Linked DNA regions of Canis lupus familiaris. The protein of the gene in region 1 interacts with the protein of each later gene in a pairwise test. Links are inferred from orthologs where the notes say so. Each region holds a gene or a part of one and is shown in the gene's direction. Other genes may lie near its edges.

Evidence for each region.
Region 2: the proteins of TK1 (region 1) and GDF9 interact in a two-hybrid assay, tested with the Homo sapiens proteins (2 studies listed by BioGRID and IntAct). The link is inferred for Canis lupus familiaris from reciprocal best matches to the Homo sapiens genes TK1 and GDF9.
Region 3: the proteins of TK1 (region 1) and PTPRK interact in a two-hybrid assay, tested with the Homo sapiens proteins (2 studies listed by BioGRID and IntAct). The link is inferred for Canis lupus familiaris from reciprocal best matches to the Homo sapiens genes TK1 and PTPRK.
Region 4: the proteins of TK1 (region 1) and LRIF1 interact in a two-hybrid assay, tested with the Homo sapiens proteins (2 studies listed by BioGRID and IntAct). The link is inferred for Canis lupus familiaris from reciprocal best matches to the Homo sapiens genes TK1 and LRIF1.
Region 5: the proteins of TK1 (region 1) and COPS6 interact in a two-hybrid assay, tested with the Homo sapiens proteins (2 studies listed by BioGRID and IntAct). The link is inferred for Canis lupus familiaris from reciprocal best matches to the Homo sapiens genes TK1 and COPS6.
Region 6: the proteins of TK1 (region 1) and TLE1 interact in a two-hybrid assay, tested with the Homo sapiens proteins (2 studies listed by BioGRID and IntAct). The link is inferred for Canis lupus familiaris from reciprocal best matches to the Homo sapiens genes TK1 and TLE1.
Region 7: the proteins of TK1 (region 1) and CCDC90B interact in a two-hybrid assay, tested with the Homo sapiens proteins (2 studies listed by BioGRID and IntAct). The link is inferred for Canis lupus familiaris from reciprocal best matches to the Homo sapiens genes TK1 and CCDC90B.

The regions. Positions count from the first base shown.
Region 1 is NC_049230.1:3,864,583-3,868,809, forward strand, and holds the start of TK1 (thymidine kinase, cytosolic), read left to right. Parts: upstream 1-1,427; 5' UTR 1,428-1,497; coding exon 1,498-1,563; intron 1,564-1,711; coding exon 1,712-1,743; intron 1,744-2,720; coding exon 2,721-2,831; intron 2,832-4,227. UniProt on the Homo sapiens protein: Cell-cycle-regulated enzyme of importance in nucleotide metabolism. Catalyzes the first enzymatic step in the salvage pathway converting thymidine into thymidine monophosphate.
Region 2 is NC_049232.1:21,140,306-21,144,403, reverse strand, and holds the start of GDF9 (growth/differentiation factor 9 precursor), read left to right. Parts: upstream 1-1,298; coding exon 1,299-1,677; intron 1,678-3,207; coding exon 3,208-4,098. UniProt on the Homo sapiens protein: Required for ovarian folliculogenesis. Promotes primordial follicle development. Stimulates granulosa cell proliferation. Promotes cell transition from G0/G1 to S and G2/M phases, through an increase of CCND1 and CCNE1 expression, and RB1 phosphorylation.
Region 3 is NC_049222.1:67,164,397-67,167,896, reverse strand, and holds part of PTPRK (receptor-type tyrosine-protein phosphatase kappa), read left to right. Parts: intron 1-2,182; coding exon 2,183-2,346; intron 2,347-2,872; coding exon 2,873-3,008; intron 3,009-3,500. UniProt on the Homo sapiens protein: Regulation of processes involving cell contact and adhesion such as growth control, tumor invasion, and metastasis. Negative regulator of EGFR signaling pathway. Forms complexes with beta-catenin and gamma-catenin/plakoglobin.
Region 4 is NC_049227.1:41,480,221-41,484,187, forward strand, and holds the start of LRIF1 (ligand-dependent nuclear receptor-interacting factor 1), read left to right. Parts: upstream 1-1,167; 5' UTR 1,168-1,570; coding exon 1,571-1,638; intron 1,639-3,967. UniProt on the Homo sapiens protein: Together with SMCHD1, involved in chromosome X inactivation in females by promoting the compaction of heterochromatin.
Region 5 is NC_049227.1:9,446,834-9,451,108, reverse strand, and holds COPS6 (COP9 signalosome complex subunit 6), read left to right. Parts: upstream 1-1,475; 5' UTR 1,476-1,500; coding exon 1,501-1,624; intron 1,625-1,845; coding exon 1,846-1,971; intron 1,972-2,164; coding exon 2,165-2,296; intron 2,297-2,623; coding exon 2,624-2,712; intron 2,713-2,801; coding exon 2,802-2,864; intron 2,865-3,170; coding exon 3,171-3,218; intron 3,219-3,295; coding exon 3,296-3,410; intron 3,411-3,503; coding exon 3,504-3,596; intron 3,597-3,688; coding exon 3,689-3,789; intron 3,790-3,895; coding exon 3,896-4,036; 3' UTR 4,037-4,154; downstream 4,155-4,275. UniProt on the Homo sapiens protein: Component of the COP9 signalosome complex (CSN), a complex involved in various cellular and developmental processes.
Region 6 is NC_049222.1:78,233,199-78,236,698, forward strand, and holds part of TLE1 (transducin-like enhancer protein 1), read left to right. Parts: intron 1-401; coding exon 402-554; intron 555-1,659; coding exon 1,660-1,804; intron 1,805-2,810; coding exon 2,811-3,001; intron 3,002-3,500. UniProt on the Homo sapiens protein: Transcriptional corepressor that binds to a number of transcription factors. Inhibits NF-kappa-B-regulated gene expression. Inhibits the transcriptional activation mediated by FOXA2, and by CTNNB1 and TCF family members in Wnt signaling.
Region 7 is NC_049242.1:16,013,254-16,016,753, forward strand, and holds part of CCDC90B (coiled-coil domain-containing protein 90B, mitochondrial), read left to right. Parts: intron 1-2,867; coding exon 2,868-2,969; intron 2,970-3,500.

The DNA.
Region 1 (4,227 bases):
TTGAAATCAAGGGTCAGGCCTCAGGCGCCCATGAGAGGGCGGGATTCTGATTGCAGGAGTCACGGCAAAGAAACAAAGGTCAGGAGAGAGGAATCAAAGGTCAGTTTGGAAATGCTGGTGAGTCAGACCACCGAGACACAGAGGTGAGGTGGAAGGAGGGACTACGGGGAGAGGATCTCAGATGTCAGGCTAAGACACAGAATTAATGCAGAGAGTAGCAAGGAACCAGGTTTGGGAGAAAGAGCTCAAAGGCAAGGAGAAAGAGTGAAGCCTAAAATGGGAAATTTTAAGACGGGGTGGCTTCATGGAAGGGTCCTGGGCTCTGGTGTCAGATGGGTTGAATGCCATCCATGTTCTATCCCTTACAGGCTGTTTTACCCTGGGCAGCTTACTTATGCTCTCTGGGCCTCAGCCCCATCTACATAATGGGCATAATAGTAGCATCACAAGGTTGAAGGACATAAAGCATGTAAATGAAGTAAAACTAACCATTCAAATGTGGGTTATGGCCCCCTCCCGTTGAACGAGGTGCCTGACCAGCGTTCTTTAGATCCTGTACAATCTGTGCCTGCGGCACATAGCGGCACACGCTGTCACTGCTACCGTCATCTTCCCTGTCGTTATGTACAATAACAATAATGCAATGGGTTTCTGACACAGAGAGAACGGGGTTTTCTTGGGGGGGGGCGGGGGCAGAATGCATAACTTATCAGATTCTCACATGTATCCGTGACCGGAAAACAAATAAACCAACCCAAACCAACCCAAAATACAGCCTGAAATGCAGGGAAACTAGTTAGGAAATCATAGTTGAGTGATAACCCTAGTAAGTGCTTTGCCTGTCCTGCGGTGAACGCCGGCCTTTCCGAATCCTTCACCCCGGCACATCCTCCATCCACGTTGTGGGACCTCAGTGTCGGGACTGTGCCTCCTTTATGGATATTAGCACAGCCTGTTTTCTCTACCCTGAAGACCAGGCGCCCCGAAGCCTGCCTGTGGCCAGAAGCAAAGGAGATGCCGGCGCTAGGGCTTTGGGAGCGGCGCACAGGGGCCGCCGGCGCCCTGGGGGGCTGGGCTCTGGGTCTCTAAGCTCGCCTCCCCGAGGGGAACGGCCTCTAGGCCCCGCGCGCCCCGCTCGGCGCAACCCGCCTACCTCCTTGGACAGCCGCTTCCAGGGCGCCGGGCCCTCCATCCCGCCGCGGCCGGCCAGAGGGCGCGCCCCGGCCCTTTAGAGGCCCTTTAGAGGCGGCGGCCGGGGCGGGGCCGACCGTCCAGGTGACGCGAGCCCGCCGGGTCCCCGGGGCCGCCCACGAGGGGCGGGCCGCGCTCGAATCTCCCGCCAGTCCGCGGCCGCGCGCTGATTGGCTGCGGGGCGCCCGCGCCGGCTCCCGATTGGCCAGCGCGCCCGGGATAAAGGCCGGCGGCGGGGGCACCCGGGTCAGGCTGCTGGGCGGTGGCACCCGAGGGCTCCCGAGCGGCGGGCTTCGTGCAGGCGCCATGAGCTGCATCAACCTGCCCACCGTGCTGCCCGGCTCCCCCAGCAAGACCCGGGGGCAGATCCAGGTGCCGGCGCGGGGGTGGCACCCCGGCGGGCGCGGGTGGCGGGCCGGGGTCGCGACCCGGGTGCGGGTTGGGGTTGGGGTTGGGGTTGTGGCCCTGGCCTGCAGTCCGTGCGCAGCGGGCCCCGAAGTGACCTCTCCTTCTCTCCTAGGTGATTCTAGGACCCATGTTCTCAGGAAAAAGGTAAATAAGTAATGTCCTCGCGGGGACGGCCTTCTCCCCCCTCCCTTCCGGGGGCCCGTCCTCCTCCCCTGCTGCCCCTCTCAGTGCCCCCCTGCAGGACGACCCCTCCCCCGGACCGAGCACGCGTTCCCGCCCCATGCGGTCCTGCAGGAGGGCGCCTCTTCCCTGCCCGCGGGGTTCAGACCCTTCCATGGGGTCATGGCACCACGTCGCCCCCCTGCAGCAGGTTATGGCTGCTGAGGGTGTAGTCCTCCCTCCCCCCACCCTCCCACTAAATCTCTCTTGGAAAGGAGCAGCCAAGTCTTTTCGTTTCGTTTTGGTTTTTTTTTTTTCAATTTAAAATTTTAATTCTTCTAAAATGGTGTCCTCGGTGAGCTGGGTCCTGTGCACCCTGCAGCATCCACACTCCTCCTTCCCTTCCTAGTGTTTGTTTCCTTAAGTAGTTTACACACTAAGGAGTCAGGCCAGGATGCCTTTGCTCCCCTGATGTGACAGGACGGTGGCCTGACCCAGGCAGGGCTAGTCGGCCCCCTGAGTGACGCCCTCTGCCCTGGGGGGGGTCACTGCAGGGCAAACCTGGTGCCCACCACAGTCAGGCCAGGGTGGGCTCTGGGACCCAGAGGTAACTGCTTTTTTTTCTTGAACAACAACAACAAAAGACTGCGAAGTCAATGCAGACCATGTGAAGACCTCTGGGATGGGACTCTTTGGGGATGCAATCCAGACCCCTCTTCTCTGTCGGAGGCCTTTGACTCTACTCACCCCATCAGATCCCTGAGACATTTATTCTCCCACCCCCTCCCCAGACCACCTGACCTCTGTTCCTTGCCATCACCACCCTCTGTCCTCTCTGGTTTTTCTGTCCATTGGTGGGTCTCAGGCTGTAGACCCCCAGCAGGGGTGGGGGGGGAGCCCCACTTGTGCTAATGGGGACTTCCTTAACATCCTGGGTCTCACCTAGTGCTCTGCTCTTGCAGTACCGAGCTGATGAGAAGGGTCCGTCGCTTCCAGATTGCCCAGTACAAGTGCTTGGTGATCAAGTATGCCAAAGACACGCGGTACAGCAACAGCTTCTCCACGCATGACCGGTCAGTCCCTGTTCTCTCCTGTCCTGTCCCAGCACTTCTTCCGGAAACCTGGTGAAAATGCGCAAGGGCATAGGCCATACTGTCAGAGCGCTCTTCAGCAGGACTGGTTAGCCATGCCGGTGGGCGGCATGGAAACGTGCAACTCAGCAAACTCTCAAGGTCGCTTGGCAAGGGATCTTAGGACTTGGCCTCTCACAGAGTTCTGGCCCGGTGTTCTTCACAAAGGGAGATTTTGTTCCCCCTCTCGCTCCCTCAGAGTCCATTTGGCAATGTCTGGAGACATCTGTAGTCTTCACAGCTGGAGTAGGGGAGGGCATGCTATGGGCATCCAGTGGGGAGAGGCCAGGGATGCTCCTGAATTCCCAGTGCACAGGACGGCCCCCACAACAAATACTGACCCTGCCCCGATGGTCAATAGTGCCGAGCTTACATCTGTGCTGTTGCAAACTGGTTTTGTTTAGCGTGCATGTTGCTTTTCATTTAGCTTTTCAGTTGTTTTATCTTGGTTGACTCTGTTGTCTTGTGGCCTTCATGCTTCCCAGTTTTGTGTTTATCTGCCTGTGCCCTGCACACGTTTCAGTCTGCAACCTGAGGTCGGGAATGAGAGGTTGAGTTTAGTTTTACTCTTGCCTGTTCCTTGGCTGCAGATTTCTGAGCCTGAGATGTTACCTCTTTTGGACTTGTCCGCCCGAGCCGCCAGCGGCAGAGCCACGCTGTGCCACAGGGAGGGCTTGCAGCCTCAGGACTGCCCCGTGTGTGGCTTTGGGGTGGGAATGTGGGGTTTCTGAAGCCGGGCGGGTGGTGGGTGGATAGTGTCTAGGAATTGGAGTTAAAGCATCAGGATGTGAGTGACTGGTGCTTTCTGCCGTGCTGCCCTATGCAGGTCATTTAGGTCTTGCAGTTACTTCTTCCCTAAAACATGTGTCTGCTTCTGCTGCACTGGCCAGGGGCACATCCAGGGAGGGCAGTGCGAGCAGAGGAGGCCGCATTACGCAGTGATAAGTCAGATCAGGGGCATGTCTGAACTTGGCCGGAGCCGCACACATGCCCTCTCACTTGGGCCACAGAAGCTGAGACGGGCCATGGCTGTGACTCAGCCCTTGGCGGGAGTGACAGGGCTCCAGAGATGCTGCCCTTGCCCACCCTCTGGTTTTCTCTGGCTTGGGGTGGGAAAGGGGAATTTAAAATGCAGGAAATACCATCTCCTGCTCTTGCCAGATCTTGGAGTAGACTTATAGCAAGATAATAACTGAGCAGTGGTTGTATTTTATTTTTTCTAAATACAGCTACAGGCTGCTGAGCCTTTGGAAAGTACCAGCCCCCAGGGGTACCTGGATGGCTCAGTTGGTTAAACGTCTGCTTTTGGCTCAGATCGTGATCCCAGGGTCTTGGCATC
Region 2 (4,098 bases), on another chromosome or scaffold:
CCGGCGGCCGCCTCGGGATTTCGGGAAGCGCCCTGGGCGGGAGGCTGCTGCGGGCCCGGCCGCTCTGCTCGGCGCGCGGAGTCTGTGACTTGCCCGCCCGCCGCGTGTGCTGTCGGAGCACGCTGTCACTCAACAGGGGGCAGGTGTTTTATGGGACCCTGCCTCCCAGCCGGGGCTCAGGGCGCCTTGGCACGCAATCGAACTGAAAACTCGCAGACTTGCCTCAGTTTCATGACCCTAGTAGGTACCGCACAGAGTGCCCGTGAATCTTGTGCCCTGAACGCGGGTTGACGTCCTTCCAGCACGGTCTCCTTACGGGTGGCACCGGATAAGCCCTCGTTTCAGCCTTTCACGGCACAGCTCAGTCTCCTGTTCCTAAAACATCAGCTCTAGCTTTGTCTCAGCTGCAAGAACGTGAGTCCTTAAAACAAAAACACCCTAGCAAGTTAAATTAAAAATTAGAATTTAAGTTTAAAAACAAAACAAACAAAAAACCCTGCAAACATCTTCAAATCTTTCAACCCAAGTCTATGTAGATGAATGTGTGGACCAAAGTAAAGGATCAAGATCTTACATTTAAAGATGAGTCAAGGTTAAAAGTGATGTCCTTTATTAAAACATAGTGCAGGATTCCAAGTACATAATCCATAGGAAGCTCCCTGAGAATTGGGCAACCCAAAGGTTCTCTGCTCTCTGGAGTTTTAATGTCAATTGTGACTTTTTTCCTCACTCTCCAAAGCAATATGCAGTAAGTAATTATTCTAACCACCTGGCAGTGGGGGAGGTGATGAGGATGAAGGGAGAGGAAGAGGGAACAACCCAATAAATTACATAGCAACAGACCTTCATATCATCATGAATAATTAGCTTCCCCACTTGCTTTGGAAGTCCCAGCAAGTACCTAAGGAACTTTTTAAGAATCCTAATCTCAAAAAAATGGTTGGTTTTATGATCATTTCTCAATTCCGTTGGCCTTTCAGTTTGCATAACTAGTCCATTGGCATAACAATAACTGAAGAGGTTTTAAATAAATGCCTCGAAAAGGGAGAGAGGAAAGTGAAATAACAGATACATTTGTATCTAATGAGGACAAATTAGATAAATAGGACGGTATCAGCAGTTTGATGCACAGCTGACAAAAATTGTCTTCAGCTAGGCGTCCTTGAGGTTGATTACAGAAGTGACCCTAGCCTACCCCCACACCTAAAATTTATTTAAGAGACCAACCTAGGTACTTCCGGGCTTTTAGGAAGAAGACTGATATGGGGAAATGCATCCCTGGCTAGCTCTTCCAGGCCATGGCACTTCTCAGCAACTTCTTCCTTTGGTTTTTCTGCTTAACGTTGCTGTGTTTTCCTATTAGTCTTGGTTCTCAAGTTTCGAGAGGAGAAGCTCGGGCGGCGGCTGGAGCTGAGTCGGAATCTGTGGCTGAGCCTTGGTCATTGCTGCGGCCTCCAGATGGAAGAGACAGATCTGGCTTCCTTTCTCCTCTTTTCAAGGTTCTATATGATGGGCAAGGTGGCACGCCTAGAGCTTTGCGCTACATGAAGAGGCTCTATAAGGCCTGTGCTACCAAGGAGGGGATCCCTAAATCCAACAGAAGCCCTCTTTACAACACTGTTCGACTCTTCACGTCCTGTGCCCAGCACACGCAGGCTCCTGGGGACCAGGCGACAGGTGTGTAGGAGCAGACTGGTTAACGGGTGGTGGGAAGATGATAGACTTGTCTGTGTTGCAGTTATTAGAAAGGAGCTGGGCCTTGCTCCTCGAATTACATATTACTTTGCATGATCCTCAGTATCCACATTGCAACAAATCTGGTACTTGATCTTACTGTTTCTTCCTAATGCTCTCCTGGAATAAGGGGGGCTCCTATGGTAGAACTTTAGAGCTAGAAGAGACTTAACAGCTCTAAAAGCTGAACAGAGTGTGGCTGGAGGTTGGCTTCTTATCCAGGTCACAAAATTCAGACTGGAAACCAGGTATTTTGACCTCTCTTGGCTTATTCTTACCATTCTATCAGTGTTGACCTGGAACTGTGTCTAAAACATCTCCTAGCTACCGAAGTATCTATTGTGTTAAATAGGATTTTACTGCTTTATATGAGGAAAACTGAAGTCTGCATTTGGAACAGTAGGTCCTCTGAAGAACCAGGTGTTGGTCATCAACCTGACCCAGCACTTTGGAGTCCTATGTGAGAAAGGAGCAGTGCTTTAAAAAACAAAACAAAACAAAAATCCCTCTACATTCTTACTAGCTCATGACCAAAACTGTTTTTTTTTTTTTTTTAAGATTTTATTCACTTATGCATGAGAGACCGGCAGAGAGAAGCAGGCTTCTCTCTGAAGAGGAGCCTGATGCAGGACTCCATCCCAGGACCCCGGCATCCTGACCTGAGCCAAAAGCAGATGCCCAACCACTGAGCCACCCAGGTGCCCCTGACACAAACAGTTCTAACCCAACAGGTCAGCTGTGGCTGTTTTAAACCCTTTCTCCTGGGCAGCTCCGGTGGCTTGGTGGTTTAGCGCCACCTTCAGCCCAGGGTATGATCCTGGAGACCCGGGATGGAGTCCCACATCAGGCTTCCTTCATGGAGCCTGCTTCTCCCTCTGCCTGTCTCTCTCTCTCTCTCTCTCTCTCTCTCTCTCTCTCTCTCTCTCTCCTTCTGTCTCATGAATAAACAAAATCTTAAAAAAAAAAAAAAAACCCTTTCTCCTTTTTCAAAGTCTTATTACAGTGGCTTTAGAGCCTCCATTTGTTATCATTCTCAAGTGTTCCCAATTAGACCATTAAGTTTTTCGTTGATTCTGTTCATTAGGGCTTAAAAAGTCGTCTTAACAAGACCAATAAATGTGTTTGAGTTTTCTCTCTAGAGATTCTCCAGGAGAAAAATAGTATTTATTAGCTGCTTCTAGGTTTGGAGCCAATGATTGAGATTGGGAAACAATGATTTTCTATGGTTGTTCACCACCAAAGCCATTCAGACTTTCTGTTGATAAAATAGCTAGGTTGGGCACTCTGGCAGTTAGCGTGGTACCTGTAGCAGGTATTTTCTCTGACTCACCTCCCCCCCCCCCCCTTCCTCTTTAAGACTGGGGGAAGTGGGGAAAGAGAAGGGAGAAAGCACATGACAAGGACAAATGCCTTGACTGCTTGTTATGTTGTGTTTGTATGCAAGCACTACTGGCAGGTTGTTTTTCTTCTCAGGCTCTGTTCCACCTGTGGACCTGCTCTTTAACCTGGATCGTGTTCCTCCCGTTGAACACTTACTGAAGTCGGGTTTGCTGTACTCTTTCAGCAATTCCATTTCTTTCCCCTCTGCCGTTAAATGTCTGTGCCACCTGGTGATCAAAGAGCCAGAGTTTTCTAGCTGGACCCCCCAGAGAGCTCCATCCTTATTGACCTTTAACTCACAGTTTGAATTGAAAAAGAAATACAAATGGTTTGAGGTTGATGTGACCACTGCTCTCCGGCCTCTAGTGGCCTTGCACAAGAGAAGTCTTCACATGTCTGTAAATTTTACCTGTGTGAGAAACCAGCAGCAGGATCCTGTGGCACAGGATGGGCCGTGGAATAGGACGCTGCTGGTACCCCCATCCCTGCTTTTATATCTGAATGACACAAGTGCTCAGGCTCATCACAGGTGGGATTCCCTTCACTATAAAAGGAGATCTTCACAGAGGGCTGACCAGAAGGGAGGTCTGTCTGCCTGTCCCATAGGAGAGGAATCGACTGAAGGTGGAAGATCTTCCCGTCACCGGAGAGGTCAGGACACCGTCAGCTTGGAACTGCACAAGCCTCTGGCTCCCGCTTCTTTCAATCTGAGTGAATACTTGAAACACTTTCTTTTCCCCCAACACGAGTGTGAGCTCCACGACTTCAGGCTGAGCTTTAGTCAGCTGAAGTGGGACAACTGGATCGTGGCCCCGCACAGATACAACCCTCGATACTGTAAAGGGGACTGTCCAAGGGCAGTTGGACATCGATATGGCTCGCCAGTGCACACCATGGTGCAGAACATCATCCATGAGAAGCTCAACTCGTCAGTGCCAAGACCATCGTGCGTACCTGCCAAATACAGCCCTCTCAGTGTTTTGA
Region 3 (3,500 bases), on another chromosome or scaffold:
AGTAAGCAGAATTTGAAAAAGAAATCATTAGTGATATCCATGGAATTACTCTCTCTTTTTTTTTTTAAGATTTTATTTATTTATTTGGGAGAGAAAGAGTGGTGGGGGGAAGCAAAGGGAAGGGAGAAGCAGACTCCTCCGCTGAGCAGGGCGCCCGATGAGGGGCTGGATCCCAGGACCCTGGGATCATGACCTGGGCCGAAGGCAGACGCTTAACCAGCTGAGCCACCCAGGTGCCCAGAATCACTGTTTTTAAAGAGCATTCCTCTGTTTTTTAGCGCAGCAGCTCTGTGTATGTGTATTATTTTAAGTGCATGATTCAGATTGTCATGTTTCAGTGTTTTCACATCGAAATGGCTATATGTGTTTCTGGCTAATAAGTCTGTATGTATAACTATAAGCAGAGGATAAAATCATATCCAATTCTGTCGCTCATTTCAGTGGAGAAAAAAAGGATAACTCCAAATCATGTCATAATATCCATGCATATCTTAGATGTTAATTTAAATGGAATCTCATTATGTCTGCACATCTGTTCCATTATGGTTCTAGTAATATTTTAGCTGAGAAACCGTAGCTGCTAAACTAAGAAAGTAAGAATTGTCTTTTTATTGAACTGCTTATATGAAAAATATTCTAAGGATGGGAACTGAAATCTGTGGGTTTTTTTTTTTATCATCATATTTGTTTACTTATCTTCCTCTATATTTGGTGTTCTGGCTCTTATTAGTGCACGATTGTCTTTCTATTCCCAATCTTATTTACTATCAGGCACTCCATCAGATATTTAATATGCACCCATGAGAAGAAGTTGGGTGTTGTACTAGTAGCTCCTAGTGATGCGTGAGCCCTTACCATATGGAAATTCAGATCGGATGTCTAATGATACAGCTCACTCCTGTATTACAAATTCTTTCTTACATTTATCTGAGGGCTTAGTGTCTTGATTCATTCATTCAACGGTACTATTCTTTGGATACTATTTTGCTAGGTTCTAGTGATACAGAGTTTAGGGAAGAAAGAGAAACTTCCTCATCTTTAAAGAACTTATATTTTATCAGGGAAGACAAGCATTGAACATCTCATTGTATAATCATTTATTTACAAAAATGAGAAATTTTAGAGAAGTACAAAATCCAGAGTGTTTGAGTAACCTGACATAGCTGGGTGACTAGAGAAGACTTCATTGGGGTAGTGATCTTTGAGGCAAAATTTGAAGGATCGGTAGGAGCTATTTGGGTTGGGAGAAACAACTATGCTGGTGTTCGCAGGACAGAGAGGGTTCCCAGGATACATGAGTTTCAGTTCAAAGACCAGAAGAGTCCCAGACAAAGCCAAGACAACTTGATTACTGTGTTTGGGATTGAGAGGCACAAACAAGAAGGAGACCTTGGAGGACAAATGGAAAGTTTGTACAAAGTTCCCCAGGCAATAAATGACCTGATAGATGGATTGAAAGAAGGCCAATGGGGGCACCCTGGGTGGCTCAGGGGTTTAGCACCTCCTTCAGCCCAGGGCCTGATCCTGGAGTCCCGGGATCGAGTCCCACGTCGGGCTCCCTGCATGGAGCCTGCTTCTCCCTCTGCCTGTGTCTCTGTCTCTCTGTGTGTCTCTCATGGATAAAAAAATAAAATCTTAAAAAAAAAAAAAAGGCCAATGTGTTAGAATGCATTATAATAAAGAGAAGAAGGTCGGGAAAGGAAGTGGAGCCATACCCTATAGGAATTTTTCAGCCACTGCAGCAATTTGGATTTTATGTAAGATTATTTGGAAGCCATTAAAGCGGGGAATGACAAGATCATATTTGCATTTCAAAATAATCAGGATACTGCAGTAAGAATGGTTTGGAAGGAGATCAAAGTTTCTTCAAGGAGATCAACTAGGAAGTAATTATCATAATTGGTGATTGGGCATATGCAGTGATGTCAGCGGTGATAAAGAGGAGAAGAATTTGAAAGTTATTTAAGAAATGTGACCCATTATTGGATATGGGGTGTGAGGGAGAAGCTTGTATAAAGGTAATTCTCATGTTTCTTGCTTCTGTGACCTGGACTGGTTCTGTGCTAGGCTCAATCCAGGGTAAAGGGCATGTATATCACGGTGTACATTTGTACGCACCTCCACTTTTTAGTAAAAATTCTAGTCCCAACTTATTTACAGAAACATACCTTTCCCTCTGCAGCCACAGGAAGGTTACCTGATGGTACAGCAGTTTCAGTATCTGGGGTGGGCCTCTCACCGAGAAGTGCCTGGCTCCAAACGGTCATTTTTGAAACTGATACTCCAGGTGGAGAAATGGCAGGAGGAGTGCGAGGAAGGGGAAGGCCGAACCATCATCCACTGCCTGTGAGTATGGTGCCTCAGCCCGCCCAGCGGGGGCTCGGTGCTCAGATCCTCAGTAGCCTTCGTGTTTCCTCTGTGAAGGAGTCCGCTCACATCTTAGGGATCTCCGTGGATACCATCTTAACAGAATCTTCCCGTCTCATGAGTCTCTAATTAACTCCCCATCTTCATTTCCACAATTTTTGAAACACTGATTATGATATGGCTGTTCTATGACCTAAGCTCTTCCGAACACCCCTCGGAACCACTTTTCTGATGTACACAGTTTACAAATGTACCACAATGTCAAGGTAGCTAAGTTGCGGCCTCCAGCGCCTACAGCATATTCCTAAGTATAAGCTATGGAGCGAATGTCACCCCCACGTGTCCTTGCTCTCTGCCCTCTGCACACACATGCATACAAAGCAAAATTAATACAAAATGTGGGGAAAAAAGGGATCCTGCTTTCATTTTCTAAACTTAGAAGATATGTGGCCTCCGGTGAATAAAAGCTGCCATCTCAACAGGACTTTGCTTTCTTTGCTTCCAGAAATGGTGGTGGGCGAAGTGGTATGTTCTGCGCCATAGGCATTGTGGTCGAAATGGTGAAGCGGCAAAATGTGGTGGACGTGTTCCACGCAGTCAAGACACTGAGGAACAGCAAGCCCAACATGGTGGAAGCCCCGGTGAGTCACAGAGCCTTAGACACGGAAGGGAGCAGAGAGATCCTTAGACACAGAAGGGAGCAGAGAGATCAGACAACCATGACCTGCTCATTGGCTTGACTTCATACACCCAAGGGAATAGGACGTGCCAATGAGTCTTTGCGGGGACTTTCCCGCCTAACTGATGGATTGCTGAGTATCTCTCTCTACCCCCGTAAACTTACTCACATAGCACAGGAACTGCTAGCGATGAAAACTATTTTCACGTAATTTGGGAAATGTGGAGGGTTGCTTCTTTCCCCTGTGAGAGGCCATAAATATTTGCTGCAATAAACGTCAGTAAATAGTTCCATAATAAGAATAAATTCCACTATCTCGTCTTGATTCTCGATTATTTTTATTTATTAAAACCTCTGGCTTAACTAGTAAAGCATCGATCCAACGGATATGTTCCTAAGTTGTATCATCAGCACTTTAGACACAGAATGTCCCTAACGGCCAAATGGAATTTAT
Region 4 (3,967 bases), on another chromosome or scaffold:
TCACTTCCTTTCCCTCCCCTCCCCTATACTGATCCCTGATAAACTTCCCTCACGCCAAAATACACCGGACAAAGTCCGTTTCCCAGGGAAACCAACCTGTGACAATGAGTTTTCGTACATAGGAAGAGATGATGGGTAGGAGGAGAATTGAGTGTGGAAGGTAAGAAATAAATGATGAAGCAGGGAAGAAGCCAAGAATGGGCAACTTATTCAGATCAGAGAATGACGGAAACCCAGCCCCTATGAAGGGCTGAGCACCTCGCCCCCTTTTAGTGCGGGACATACTCGACTGAAAGACAGACGCCAGCTACACACGCAGGATTCTGTGCCACCGAAACTACCACAGAGCACCGCGCTCAGGAAGTCGTGCTTTCTCTTAACCTGTCGGAACACTGTCGTTTCACTGCGCTTACCACGGAGCTAGGGGATGAGGGGCCAGGGGACTCGGCCCCCGAGGCCGGACAGTCAGTATGCGCCAGTTCACACTTCCACCGCCTGTCCCTCATAAGACGCCCTCGTCGGCCGCTCCTGCCGCCGCCTCCCTGCAGCCCCGGCTGAACGGCACCGCCCGCCCTTCCACCAGGGGCTTGGCCGGTCTCTCGGATGCAGGATTCAACACCGGGAGCCGGGAGACTTCTGAAAAGAATTTCTCCGGAGAGCCAAGTGAAGAGGAAAAAAGATGTCTATGGAGGGCGAACTTTCAGAGAACCAGCCGATTAACTCTGACGATGACTTTGACCGAGGCATGAGATGAACGCGCGGTGGAGGGAAAGGTCAGGTTAAGAAGAGAGGCAAAACTTCAAGAAAGAGGAAATGAACGAGAAAGCGCAGGAAGCGGCAATAAACAGAGCGCTGCCCACGGGCAGGCGTCTAAGAGGCGCGCACAGCGTCAGGCACTAGTCCAGAGCCGCCGCCGACGTCTCCTCCGGCGCTGGCGGGAAAGAGAAACGTGCAGGAGCGGCGAGCGCATTGGCAGAAAATTTACCAATGACCCCGGAAGCGTTTTATTTTGCGTAGGCATCTTGAGCATATCCTCTCGTGATTCGTTCGTTGATCCGGAAGAAGAGACACCAAACGTCCTCTGCGATTGGATCGTAGCATCGGGGCGGTGCTTTAGCGAGCCAGTCACCTCGGCGACCGGATGTGACGATGCCGGAAGCCGCTGACTGAGCTGGGCCCGGCTGGCGGCTGCGGTGGGCGGGGTCGGCCGAGCCCGTCCGGCGCGGTCTTCCCCACGGACCCAGCGCTGCTGGGGGCGGTGCCATTAAGGCCCCGCCTCCCGCGTCGACTCCGATTGGCTCTGGCGCGACGCCGTCGGCTCGCGGGGGGCGGAGACTCGGGCCGCTCCTCCCAGAGGCCGGGGCCGGGCCGCGTCGTCAGCCGCTGCGGTCCTTCCGGTTTCTGGCAGCCGCGTCGCCTCCTTCCGAAGGCTGGGGTCCTCCTTTCGCAGCGAACCCGTTGGGCGCCGTCCAGCCCAACACCGGGTCGCTCCGGGTCTCGCCCCTCGGGAGGCCCTCGGCCCCTCGTTGCCCACTTCCCTGGAGGTGCCGGCCCCTCCCGCCCCTCTAAAATGTCCAATCACCTCCAGAGGGTCTTCCTGAAACCCGCAGAGGAAAGCTCGGGCAACGCCTCGCAGTGGTAAGTACTGGTTGCGACTCCCCCTCAACACGCCTGCCCCGGCCCGCCTCTTAGCAGGGTGCCCAGGCGGCCTTCTCCTCCGGGCGCCCTGGCCCCGCAGTGGGCGCGCCTTGGGGGCGAGCGCCGGCCGGCGGGGCGCTCACGGCCCTGGAGCCCTCCGAGCGCTCGAGCGCGCCCCTCCTGGAAACGTGCAGCCTCGGCCCGCCCCGGCCCCGCACGACTCCTGCGACGGAGCAGCTCTCCACGGGAGAGGAAGACCAACATGGCCGGCGCGCCCGCGTGGACGGACGCCTTCTGGAAGGTTCTCGCGCACTCGCCGGAAAACACGCAGCGCGCGCGCGGACCAGCAGGTGCCGCCCAGGTGGTGCGGCCCAGATGGTGCGGCCCAGGTGGCGCAGGCCCTCCCGTGCGGACGGCTGTTCCTTCAGAGGAGTGAGAAGGAAAGGAAGAATGTGTGCAGGGGATGCTTAGGATATGAAACCACAACCTGAAAAATTGATCTCGTCTGAGGGAATGGATCTTTTCTTTTTTAAAAAGGATTTTGCTTATTCATGAGAGACACAGAGAGTTAGAGACCCAGGCAGAGGGAGAAGCAGGCTCCCTGCGGGGAGCCCCATGCGGACCTCGATCCCGGGACCGGGCTCTCACCCTGAGCCGAAGGCAGGCGCTCCACCACCGAGCCACTCAGGCGGCCCTGGATTTTGTTTGTAAATTTTAAATAGTAGTTTTATATGGAAAGGAAGAAAAGTAGAATGATTGCCACGTGAGATCGGTGGTTGGGAACAGAGTCTTTGAAGCAGCTGTAATGAGAACGCCCTCTCTCGTTGGATATCTCCCTATTTGACATAGGGAGATTCCAGGATTTCTTTTAAAAAGGCGTACGTGGTTGCACATTTCCAAAACAGTTTATCACTAAGTCAATTTTTTTTAAAGTTCTGTTAGTCAACATGAAATAAAAGGGGAACAGAACTGTTAGGGAAGATCGACTATTTTAAGTTGTAGACTCCATGGTTAGTGGATATAGTAAGTGGTGAGAAAAAACTTAATTGGTGTCTGCGGAAGGAAAATGTGAAGAAAGATGGAAATTGAGCGTAGAATTCATGGAAGAGGATTTATGTTTGAAGAACATCAAGCTGCCTAAATTTAATCCTAGCTTTGACAGTTAACAGTTCGTGAGACCAAGTGCCTTTCTCCAGTCTCCTTTCCAGTAAATTAGAGCGCCTAGAGATATTTTTAGAGTTAAAAGAATGAGTATATGTAGAATACTTAGTATAGAAAAAAAAAAAAAGCAGTACTTATGTGTTAGCTATTATTATGAGAATACGAGTTTATTTCTCTACAAATTTTAGCTCAGTAAGGTTTATTTTAATTACAAGTATATGCAAAATGGAATTGTAAGAAGGACTAAAAAAGCATGCACGGCATCTTAAGAAGAAACGGTCACTAAATGCGGTGAGCCAAAACAGCATTGAAGAGCTGCCAAGAACCATTGGGATTCAAATCGTAAACAGAGCCAGCTTGTGTGTACGTATAACGTTTTGGTTTACTTTTGGTGGAAGCTAGGAGGAGAAGCAGATGTAGTGTTCTGTATAGATAATGCAAAAGTAAAAATACTTTCTCATGGTTGTTCATTTCTTCTACCTTTGTTTTGGCCTGGGTATTTGATGACGTGTAACTTAACACAATTTGTTTTAAGAATGCATTGTTCTGCAATGTTAGAAATAAGATAGTATAAGAACCTAACCTTTTTATTTATTGTGACTTTAACTCTTTGACCCAATTTCTAAGCCTTCGGCTATATGTATTTGGCATTTTTAAAAACTTTACAAAATGAATTAGGTTTTGGTTACTTACCTGTGTAAGTCATTGGGAGTTCGTTAACTCATTGGTTTATGAATTGTGTACATCATCTTCAAATGCATTTATTTCTTCAAATCACTGAGATTTGACATCACATGTTCTGGACATTACCAGATGTTTTTTTGATGCCATTTGACTCTTATTTTGGTTATCGCTTGCGTGTTTGATTCTGTTCTGTTTTGTAAGTAATAATCTTCATGACTTGCAAGTATAATTTTATGAATCATTTGATTAATTTCAGCTCTTTAATTGGAAGCACAGTTTCTTGATTTTTTGATAATTTTGATGGTACTAAATCATTTTCATGAACTTAAAATGAGTATGATTTTTACTTTCTGTAGATGCTTGGATTTTTCTCGAGTTACTGCTGCTTTCCTTTTGTAAAGCTTTTCACGATTGCATTACAGGTTTATTGTTTAACATGTGTCTAGTTCATCATGGCATAAAGTATAAGAATCAGAACTAATCT
Region 5 (4,275 bases), on another chromosome or scaffold:
AAGGCATCCTGGTTGCTAAATGTGGCTGTCCCCTGAATGTGTTTGTCTCCTCCTGGTTGGTCTTGACCAGAGGGTACTGATCAGGATGGAAGGAGGGCTTTCTAGACTTGTTCTGAAAATTAAAGATTTTGCCCTGACCATTCCTTGGAATGACACTTCTCCCTGTCCTCCCTCTCCCCACCCCATACCCACCCCAGGCCATCCTGGTTGCAGGCAAAAGGGAGCCTAGCAAACTCCAACTTAATTTTATTTCGGCCACCAGGATTCTCTTCATGGACTGACATAATTCTGGATCATAAAGACAATGACCATTTGATTGAGGGTGCTGCTCTCCAGCTCCCCCACAGTGGGCTGCGTGTGCTATGGCGGGCTGAACAGTGGCCCCCAAATACAGCCAGGTCCCAATCCTTGGAACCTGTGAATGTTACTTTACAGGGAAAAAGAGATTTTGCAGATCTGATTGAAGTATGAATCTTCGGATGGGGAGATTATCGTGGATTTATGATTAAGGATCTTCAGATGGGGAGATTATCCTGGGTTATCCCAGTGGGCACTGTATATAATGCCAGGTGTCTTTATAAGAAAGAAGCAAGGAGGGGTTTTATCGCACAAGGCGATGTGACTACAGAAACAGAGGGACAAAGAAAAAGATTTGAAGATGCTGCTAAAACACTGGAACTGAAGGAAACTGGAACACATTTCCTGGTACCTGCTGGTTGCGGGCACTGGAGTGGGCTCTGCAGGCTCAAGGCACAGGTCTTCACCTGCTTTCTGAGAGCTTTCACTTTGGATGTGGCACAGGCATACACTGAAAGAACCAGCTAGACAAATGGGTAGGGGAGCAAGGGGGAGTAAACGCAGTGCACAGCGACGTGCTTGGGCGTAGGAGTGGGGAGGGGTCGGAGTGGGCTGGGTTTGTCCCAAGCGAGTTTTGAAAGGCTGCTGGAGATGGAGGATAGAGGGAGGCCGGGAAGGGCTGGAGTGCTGGGCACGTTCCTAGTATGTAGGTAATACGGTATTTGCAAGGAGGAAAGGACACGCCGGTGAACCATTCGCGACCAGGTTTCACCTCAGATTATCCACTCAGTGAAATACCTATTTAGGTCCTTGGCTGTCGGGTTGGACGCGGCAGAGGCCCGCACGTGGGCGTGGGGCATACGAAGGGAACTGCCAGGGGAGCCGGCGCGGCTGAAGCACGAGGACCGAGGGCCGGGTGGCAGGCAGGGTCCTGACCCTGCGGGGCCTTGCACGCCATGGCCCGGGCGCGGATCTTGTTCTGAGGGCAATAACGTGGTTCTTCATTAATTCTGCAACAGTCTTAGGAACTGGGCCGTTTTATCCCAGTTTTACTGACGAGGACGGTAAGGCTGGGAGCGCGCAGGGTGAAGTAATTTGTCCCAGATCTGTCACCGCCGCAAGCGCGTGGCGGACCCGGTCTTCCGAAGTCCACCCGCTCCGGGGCCGCCCGCCCCACCCGCCGAGGCCCCGCGCCCACTGAGCATGCGCCGCTGGCCTACGGAAGCCGACGGGGAGGGGGCGGGGCCGAGGCTGGCGGGCGCGGGGAAAATGGCGGCGGCGGCGAACGGGACTGGAGGGAGCAGCGGGATGGAGGTGGATGCGGCAGGTAACGGGCCTCGCGGAGGCGGCCTCTGGTGACGCCCCCCGGGGAGCGACAAGGCCCCCCTGGACTCCCGGGAGGAGTCAGCAGTCGGGACGGCGATCCCGCCCCCTGGACTAACTTGCGGGAGGGATGTATGGCTCCGGCTCTGCCGTCTCCCGCTCGCAGCTCCGGGGCAGAACGTGCGGCCCCGACGCTCACTCGTCCTCCTTTTCCTCCACCCTCAGTAGTCCCCAGCGTGATGGCCTCCGGCGTGACGGGGAGCGTCTCCGTCGCTCTTCATCCCCTCGTCATTCTCAACATTTCAGACCATTGGATTCGCATGCGCTCCCAGGAGGGGCGGCCTATGCAGGGTGCGTGCTGGGCGTCAATCTCCAACCTCCTCTCCTTGGTCACCTGCCCCAAGTAGGGGTCTTTGCCCCCGCCCTTCCTGAGGCCAGTCCCCCCTCCCCAGGTCACCGTGTCTCCAGCATTGCGTTCCCACTGACCTCGACCCAGGGACCGGATTCTTAACCCTCCTGTTTTCCGTGTCGCTCTCTCCCCCAGTGATTGGGGCGCTGATCGGGAAGCAGGAGGGCAGAAATATCGAGGTGATGAACTCCTTTGAGCTGCTGTCCCACACCGTGGAGGAGAAGATTATCATTGACAAGGAGTATTACTACACCAAGGAGGAGCAGTGTGAGAGGGGGATAGACTCGGGGGTGAGGAGTGGGAGTGAGAAACAAAGGCAGAGTGGGGAAGATGGAGAGTGATGGGGAAAAATAGGAGAATGGGACAAGAACTGTGTTTGTGTGAGGAGAGTATCACAAAGGATCTCAGAAAAGGAACAGTTTAGGTACCCACCCCCCAGACAGTAATAGATGAGAGAAGATAGAAGGGACTAATTATTGAGAACTGAGCCAGGAGTTGAGCGGGGAGGGGAGAAGCTGATGAAAAATATACCAGGAGTTTCCAATGAAGGGAGGGTGATTTAAAGAATGATACCCTGTGCTCTTTCCCCTGCAGTCAAACAGGTGTTCAAGGAGCTGGAGTTTTTGGGTTGGTATACCACCGGGGGGCCGCCTGACCCCTCTGACATCCACGTCCACAAGCAGGTACACATGCATGCTGGTGCATGCTGGGGCAGGGCTTGAGCAGGGGAGGAAAGATGGGCATTGACACCCACATCCCCATTCCCTTCCAGGTGTGCGAGATCATCGAGAGCCCTCTCTTTCTTAAGTTGAATCCTATGACCAAGCACACAGATGTGAGTAATACTGACCCCATGCCCACTTAGGCACGGTGCTGGACAAGCATGACAATCTTACCCTCCTCCCCTGCTGTGCTTTACATCTCTGTTGGGCTGAATCTTCACTTGAGGTGAATTCTCCGCTCAGCAGCTGTGTGACTTTAGGTTAATCATTTAATCTCAGAACTGCTTTTTGCCCTATGTATAAGGTGGGGGTTAGCCTTACTTCAGTGGGCCCTTGGGAAGATTGGGAAAATCTGCAGAAGAGCCAGTACGGTAGCCCAGGTGCACTTGATGTAAGAGCTGTCTCCCGTTGCTTTACAGCTTCCCGTCAGTGTTTTTGAGTCTGTCATCGATATAATCAATGGAGAGGTAATGCCCTGCCTTTCAACCCCGCGGTCCTGCTCCTTGGCCTTTCCTGCTCCTGACTCTGCTTTTGTGCCCTGTAGGCCACGATGCTGTTTGCGGAACTGACCTACACTCTGGCCACAGAGGAAGCTGAACGCATTGGCGTCGACCACGTGGCCCGAATGACAGCCACAGGCAGCGGCGAGAACTCCACAGGTAAGGAAGACTGGAGGTGTTTCCTCAGCAGTGGGGGGTGGAAAGCGTGGCCAGGTGCGTTTTCAACCTTGGCCTCTCCCTGTCTCCCCCCAGTGGCCGAACACCTGATAGCACAACACAGTGCCATTAAGATGCTGCACAGCCGGGTCAAGCTCATCTTGGAATATGTCAAGGCCTCTGAAGCGGGTAGGACAGGCGTCTCCCTGGCACGCCTACCACTTTTTCTCACTCCTGAGGGTGACCTCATCCACATTAATGCAGTCCTTCTGTGCCTTTAGGAGAGGTTCCCTTTAACCATGAGATCCTGCGGGAGGCCTATGCTCTGTGTCACTGCCTCCCTGTGCTCAGTACAGACAAGTTCAAGACAGACTTTTACGATGTGAGTCTAAAACCCAGGCTGGGGACGTGGGGTTTGTACATCATGTCTGCACGCAGGACCCGGGACTCAGACATTCCCTGGGCAACTGGTTTTCTGTTCCTTCCAGCAATGCAATGACGTGGGGCTCATGGCCTACCTTGGCACCATTACCAAAACCTGCAACACCATGAACCAGTTTGTGAACAAGTTCAACGTCCTCTATGACCGACAAGGCATCGGCAGGCGGATGCGGGGGCTCTTCTTCTGAGAGGGTACTTGAAGGGACGATGCACAGGTTGGACAGTGGTCCCACAGGGGAGGGGCATCACACTCCCTTTAGAGAAACCTCCTGTTGATAATAAAAGAGGAGCAGCCCCTCAGCACCCCTTGCAGTGGCTCTGTCCTCTCTGTTGGGCACCACACGGCTTTCTCAACTCGGATCTTGAAAGGAGGCCCTTGGTTCCAGCCTTGCTCGGCAGGACAGCCTGATTGGGAACTCTCTGCCAC
Region 6 (3,500 bases), on another chromosome or scaffold:
GATCTGACACGAACTTTTGTTAAAAAAATCTGTTTTCCCAGTCATTTAGGATTCGTAAGTTGGGTGCTTAGTGCCCCTTTCATTCCTGTGCCCTGGGAAAAAGGCTTGGTACCTTTTTCATTCCTGAGAAAAGTATCTGAACATGAGGAAGGGTAGAATTGTTCTTGGATGTTTTCTCCCTCTGTGCTGTCTTCATGGATGTGTTTGCAAATGCCATCCTGTTAATTCCGTTAATTATAACAACATTGCTAGTCAGGGTGCACACTCCCAAGTGCTCCAGATCTAAAGGACTTAAAGGGTCCTCCTTTAATATAGAGAATTAGTGTGGAAATAGAATCTGTGAAGCGCAAGGTCCATCCATTATAAGTGAAATCACACAAGCTTTGCTTATGCTTGTTGAGGACCCTTCTTCTCCACGAGCAAGCCCTGCCCATTCACCCAGGGAAAACGGGATCGACAAAAACCGCCTGCTGAAGAAAGATGCTTCCAGCAGCCCGGCGTCCACAGCCTCTTCAGGAAGCTCCACTTCTTTGAAATCCAAAGAAATGAGCTTGGTAGGTCCCATGAGCTGTCCTCTGCCTGTTTAGCAGTTTATTTTCCTTTGTGGTTCAGAGGACCCTTAGTACCTTATTTTCAACTGACCCATTGTGTTGGGGCATGTTGGCATTGGGTTGGGGGTCAGAATGGGAATGTACTCAAGTGGTCACGCCCCAAGAGGCCTGAAACTGATTCAGGGAGGGCAGAGCCTCCTTGTCTGTTCCTACTTTCAACCATTCAACAAATAACGTGGAGCATGTCATCTCTTAACCCACAAAAGCTGAGACATAACAGCTCTACGTGTGATGCTTATACAGTCTTCCTGGGCATTATCCCTGTCACCTATGGGGAAGAAAGTCTGAGGAGCCTGCCAAGTTTATACAGCCCATCAGATCCAAGGCCAGAGGGAGCTAGGGTCTCTCTCCCTATCCCATGCATGCTCTTGGCTTCTCCACAGTGTTCCTCAGACTGGGATTTAAAGGAATGGATGAGATGCAGAGGATGATGCCCCATGACCCTGTTACTGCCACACCCCTGATGGCCTCTGCGCTAGAGGTCAACATCTGTCATGTAGGCAAATGGGCAGTGGTGCTTAACACCTCACACAGCTCTCAAAGGGACAGGACTCCTCGGGCTTTTGCCTTTGAGATGCTGGTTTGTTTCTCATCAAATCCATGGCCCTGCTGCCTCTCACTAATAGTCTCAATCCTACTGCCACTGACAGGCAAGATTAGAAGAGGGATCCTCCCTCTGACATTCTCAGTGACCCAGCCATTTGTTTCTGAAGTGCCTGGGGATTTTTCTCTGGGTGGTCATCGTTCTGACTTGGCCCACATCCAAAGTCCACATGCCTGATGGAAAAATACTTTTTAAAATAAAATCTGCGGAGGAAGAAGTGTGATCATGTTCTGTGTCTCTAGCTAGAGTTTTAATTCTGGCAGGAAGAGGAAAGGTCAACATTTCTCGCTCACAAGTTAATGCTGTCAACATTGTGTGGATTTATGAAAATTGGCTGAGGGAGTAGCTAGAAGGTGCCCAAGTGTCCCAGCTGCTGTTGTGATAAATTGTGTAATATGGCTTGGATTAAAAATAATACTCATTTAATTTGTTTAATGATACCAGCATGAAAAAGCCAGCACGCCTGTTCTGAAATCCAGCACACCGACGCCTCGGAGCGATATGCCAACGCCGGGCACCAGTGCCACTCCAGGACTCCGTCCAGGCCTCGGCAAGCCTCCAGCCATGGACCCCCTCGTTAACCAAGCGGGTAGAGCAACATTGCCTCTTGTTGTGCTTTGTTTTGCGTTTCCCCTTCCTGGCTTGGGTCGTTGTGTGTGCACTCCTGACGCCATTTCCCCATGAATATGAAACACACTCAATGCCCGCCTCCTTCCCATCCCTGAAAAGCCATGATAAGAAACAGATGTTTGTCCTTAGGTTTCAGCAGCTGCACCCTGTTCGGTCTCCGACTGTTTATATTTGGCTCCACCACTACCACCACCCCCTCCCCACAAATAATCCAAATTCCAGGGACTTCAATAAAGTTTCCGATAATTATTTGCACATAAGCTCCTGACCAAACTATCACTTGCATTAATGAGTTCACTAATACTAACCAAAACTGCCCTCCCAAGTGTGCTTCTTGCTTACTTTTTAGTTGGCCATTTTTTTTTCCTGGTATATCCCTCAGGAATCAGTGGTCTGTCATTAGAAATTGGGGGGGTTTCACGGAGTCTCCAGCCCATGAATAAATTAGTAACTTTTAACTTAATCTTCTTTAACACCTTGGCCCCAGACGAAAATAGGCCCTAGAAGATTCCTTCTAAACCCATGCTTTGGTTTCAGTCATGAATCCAGAGTCAGGTCTTCATTTGGAATAGGTAACAGGGAATGAAAATTTAGACTCTAGGAGGAATCTTGGATTTTACCAAAACCTTATTTTGAGATTAAGTCAGATAAACAGGTAGTGCCCTGTGCCTTGGTTTACCTTCTGTGAATCGGGCACAATAGTGCAGTTTATTAATTTTAATTGCCTGGTTTCCCAGTGCTGGAGAGCCAAGGACAAAGTGCATGGACAGTGCTTCCCCTGGGGTTCATTCTTCCCTGGAGATGAATTCAGCTGAGTGGGTGGTGATGACCGCCCCCTATGTCACCCAGGCCATCCTTGTCCTCACCCCTTGTGAATGGCACTAGAGGTGACTCTGGAGTTGACGGTCAGGCTGGACCACAGCGCTGGCTGAGTGACATCCTGCACATCTTGTGCTTCCTTGCAGCGGCCGGCCTGAGGACGCCGCTGGCGGTGCCTGGCCCATACCCCGCCCCGTTCGGGATGGTACCCCACGCCGGCATGAACGGCGAGCTGACCAGCCCCGGCGCCGCCTACGCCAGCCTGCATAACATGTCCCCGCAGATGAGCGCTGCCGCCGCTGCCGCCGCCGTAGTAGCCTACGGGCGCTCCCCAATGGTAGGTGCCACGGACAGGCATGCAGGTGGGCAGGCAGGTGGGTGCACAGGTGGGCAGGAGGGCAGGTGAGCTAGGGCCAGGGCCCCCGCCGCCACCACCGTGGTGGCCTACGGGCGCTCCCTGATGGTAGGTGCCACAGATGGGCACTCAGGTGGGTAGGCAGGTGGGTGCATAGTGGGCAGGTGAGCCAGGGCCAGGACCCCTGCCGCCGTTGCTGTGGTGGCCTACGGGCACTCCTCAATCGTAGATGCCACGGGTGGGCGGGCAGGTGGGAGGGCAGGTGGGTGCACTGGCAGGCAGGTGATCCAGGATCTGGACCTTCACCTGCGCCTGCCCACCAAACAGAGCCCCAGTGTCCCCACTGCGCCCCGCCTGCCACCATCACTATGCTGCTTCATTAAGTTAGGGCTCGGCGCTTCTTGGTTTACTGTTTTTGTGGATGAAACAAGGCAGTGTTTAGGAGCTACTTTTGCGATTCAGGGGACATCTGGTTTTCTCC
Region 7 (3,500 bases), on another chromosome or scaffold:
ATCTTTTGATTAGAACACTTAGACCATTTCATTTAAAGTAATTATTGACATATATGTTCTTTTTGCCATTTTGTCACTCTTATAGTTCTTCTCCATGCCTCTCTTGGTCTCTTGCTCTCATTCCTTGTGATGCATCACTTTAGTATTCTGCTTAGCTTTGTTTTTTGTGTGTATCTATTACAGATTTTAGGTTTGTGGTTGCCATATGGTTCCCATATGACATCCTAAGAACTTAGCAGTCATATATTGTCACTTAAGTTCAAACACATGCTTAAAGAAATTCATTTTTATTTCCCCCCTGCACATTTTCTGTGTATGTTGTTATATTTTATATCTTTTTTTTAAAAGATTTTATTTATTCGAGAGAGAGAGAGAGGCAGAGGGAAAAGCAGGCTCCATGTAGGGAGCCTGACATGGGACTTGATCCCGGGTCTCCAGGACCTCGCCCCAGGCTGAAGGCGGCGCTAAACCGCTGAGCCACCGGGGCTGCCTATTTTATATCTTTTTAATCTGTGAGTCCCTTTAGCTGATTTTTAGATATAATTGACTACTACTTCTGTCTTTTAAGTCTTCAAACTTACTTTATAAGTGTTTGCTGAACTACCTTAATGTTTGCTTTTATTCATGAAAGTTTTTCATTTTATAATTTTCTTCTAATTTGGACCTCTTCTTTTCTCCTCAAAAAAAAAAATCATTTCATTATTTCTTGTAAATAAGAGAAATCACCTCTAACAGTGATGAACTTTTTAAACTTTTGTTTGTCTGGAAAACTCATCAATTCTGAATGATAACCCTGCTGGGTAGGATATTTAGGTTCTAAGTTTTTACAACATCAAGCACTTTGAAAATGTCATACTGTTCCCTTCCGGCCTATATAGTTTCTGCAGGTAACTCATCTGGCCCCCTCCCCTTCTTCTTGTGGGATGCTTATAATGCAAATGTTTCTTCACTTGATATTGTCCAAGAGATCCCTTAACCTCTCCCCTCTTTTTTTTTCTTTTTACTGTTCGCTTTGGGTGCTTTCCATTACCCTCTTTTCCATATTGCTGATCTCTTGTTTTCCATCCTCTAATGTCTTGATTCCCTTCAGTTTATTTTTCATTTCATTTATTGTGTTCTTCAAATCTGATTGGTTCTTTTTAATTTTGTATTTTTGTTCAAGTTCTCATCGAGTTTATTCACTCTACTGTCTAGTCTCATGGGCTTTATGTCCATAATTTTGAACTATTTGTCAGGCATATTTCTTATTTCCATTCTAATTAGGTTTCTGAGGTTTTGGCTTTGTTTGAAGCAGATTCCTTTGTTCCTTCTTCTTGCTTTACCTTGTTTCTGTTAATTATGTGCAACAACTACTTTTAAAAAGTAGAATGATATTGTATCTAATCGTCCTTTGTGGAGAATGTGTGTCTGTTGACTTGAGCTGGCTTTCTGACTATGCGGATGTCGTGGGCTTGGGTCCTGGGGCACTTCATGGTAGGGCCACTTTGGTGTGATATACAGAACCAAAGCGGGTACAGGCTGGGATAATCTGATAGCTCTCCATGTAGACTGCACCCAGGCCAGACAGCTGGTGCTATAGTGGGTTTTGTCTGGGGGCAATCCCAGGGTACTTGCCTGGTAAGACAGCTAAAGTTGAAGAGGTTTCATTCTGGGCAGTCTTGGAGCCCTCCATGGAGCTAGTGCCCTGGCAGAACAGCTTCATCTTAAATGAGTATGGGCCAGGGTGGGTTAGGGACTTTCCACACAGAGGGTACCATGGGAGAACAGCTGATGGTGAAATGAGTGCAAGCCAGGGCTTCCCCAGACCCTTTGTGTAGGTGAGCTGATTTGGTAGGTCCTGGCCTGCTCTGAGCTGGGGGTGTCCTGGCAAGTTATCTGGAGGTGAAGTGGTGGGGGCCTGGATTACTCTAGGGTGCTTTGCACCTATGTTAGTGAGTTAGCTGTTATGAAAACTGACCATGGATATTCTGGTGTTACACTGGAGCCACTTTCATGGACACTGTGTTGGTTTGGGCTAGGGACCTAGTGCTCATTGAGACGGTAGGCCAGCTATGGTTCCCAGACCCTGCTCCCATCTGTGCTCTCAAGGTGGAGGGGGAAGATAAACAGTGATGCAGACCAGTGCCTGAGAACCAGAGAATTGCAGCAGCTCCCACAGTGTTTGGCAGGGTTCTGGGGCTGGATCTTTTATATTCTAGTTACCCTTTGAAACCTCATCATTTTTTCTGTATCCCAGGGCAGACAAATCTGTTCATGGTCATTCAGCACAGTCTCTTTCCACTGTAGTTCTGTCGGGATTGGGGGTTCCCTTTGTGACTGTCTCTCTCTCTTGCCTTTCTGTATGTGGTACATGTTTTGCTGTGCAGAAGCTGTTCAGTTAGCCCGGTGTTGTTTAGGAGGAAATGCTTTATAAATAGGTGTAGAGGGATCCCTGGGTGGCGCAGCGGTTTAGCGCCTGCCTTTGGCCCAGGGCGCGATCCTGGAGACCTGGGATCGAATCCCATGTCGGGCTCCCTGCGTGGAGCCTGCTTCTCCCTCTGCCTGTGTCTCTGCCTCTCTCTCTCTCTCTCTCTCTCTCTCTCTCTCTCTGTGACTATCATGAATAAATAAATAAAATCTTTAAAAAAAAAAAAATAGGTGTAGATTTGGTGTGTCCATGAAAGAGGTGAGTTCAGGGTCCTCGTATGTGGCAACCTTGGATTGGAACCTCTTTATTTTGATATACAGGTTTCATATGGTTTGGTTTTGTTTAGTTAGCTAAGCAAGATTATATTTTGTAGCATAACAACAGATTCTTTTACATTACATGAAAACAATTCTGTGTGAGGTAATGCCATTCCAGATCACTAGGTTATTTTGTTTTCCAGGAAATAACAGTACAACAACTAATGTCTCATTTGGACTCCATCAGGAAAGACATGGTAATCCTAGAGAAAAGTGAATTTGCAAATCTAAGAGCAGAGAATCAGGTGATACAAGTTTTAATTTATTACTAATAAAATAAATGATTTTATGTGGTCAGTTATCAAGTTTTTAGGTCAAAGTATACACATGCTTAACCATACTAATGTTTCTATGTATAAATCATAGTTTCTTGACCAGAGTTAAGAGTTGTGCCTTACACATGTAAAAATCATGTGGAAGGGAAAATCTTTGAGCTGTCTAAATGTTATATAAAATTTCTTGTACATTTTATATGTTCTCAGAATTTAAAGCAATGTGACATTTTCCATTTTAAATGATTCTGTACTAATTTTTTGTCAGTTAAAAGAAAACTTTCTGTATTTCGTTGGAATTTTGTTCGCTAGCTTAAATATTTTTAAATTTAGAATATCAGTCATGGTTTAAAAGTAAAATAAATAGATAAAATAAAACTAGAACAAATACTTTTTTTACTGTCCATAATTTCTGAATATGATGAAGTATTTTCTGAATATGATGAAATATTATTTCCTTTTTTGTCTAGTTTTAGTTAATGTTTGATTAGAAATCTGTAGAGG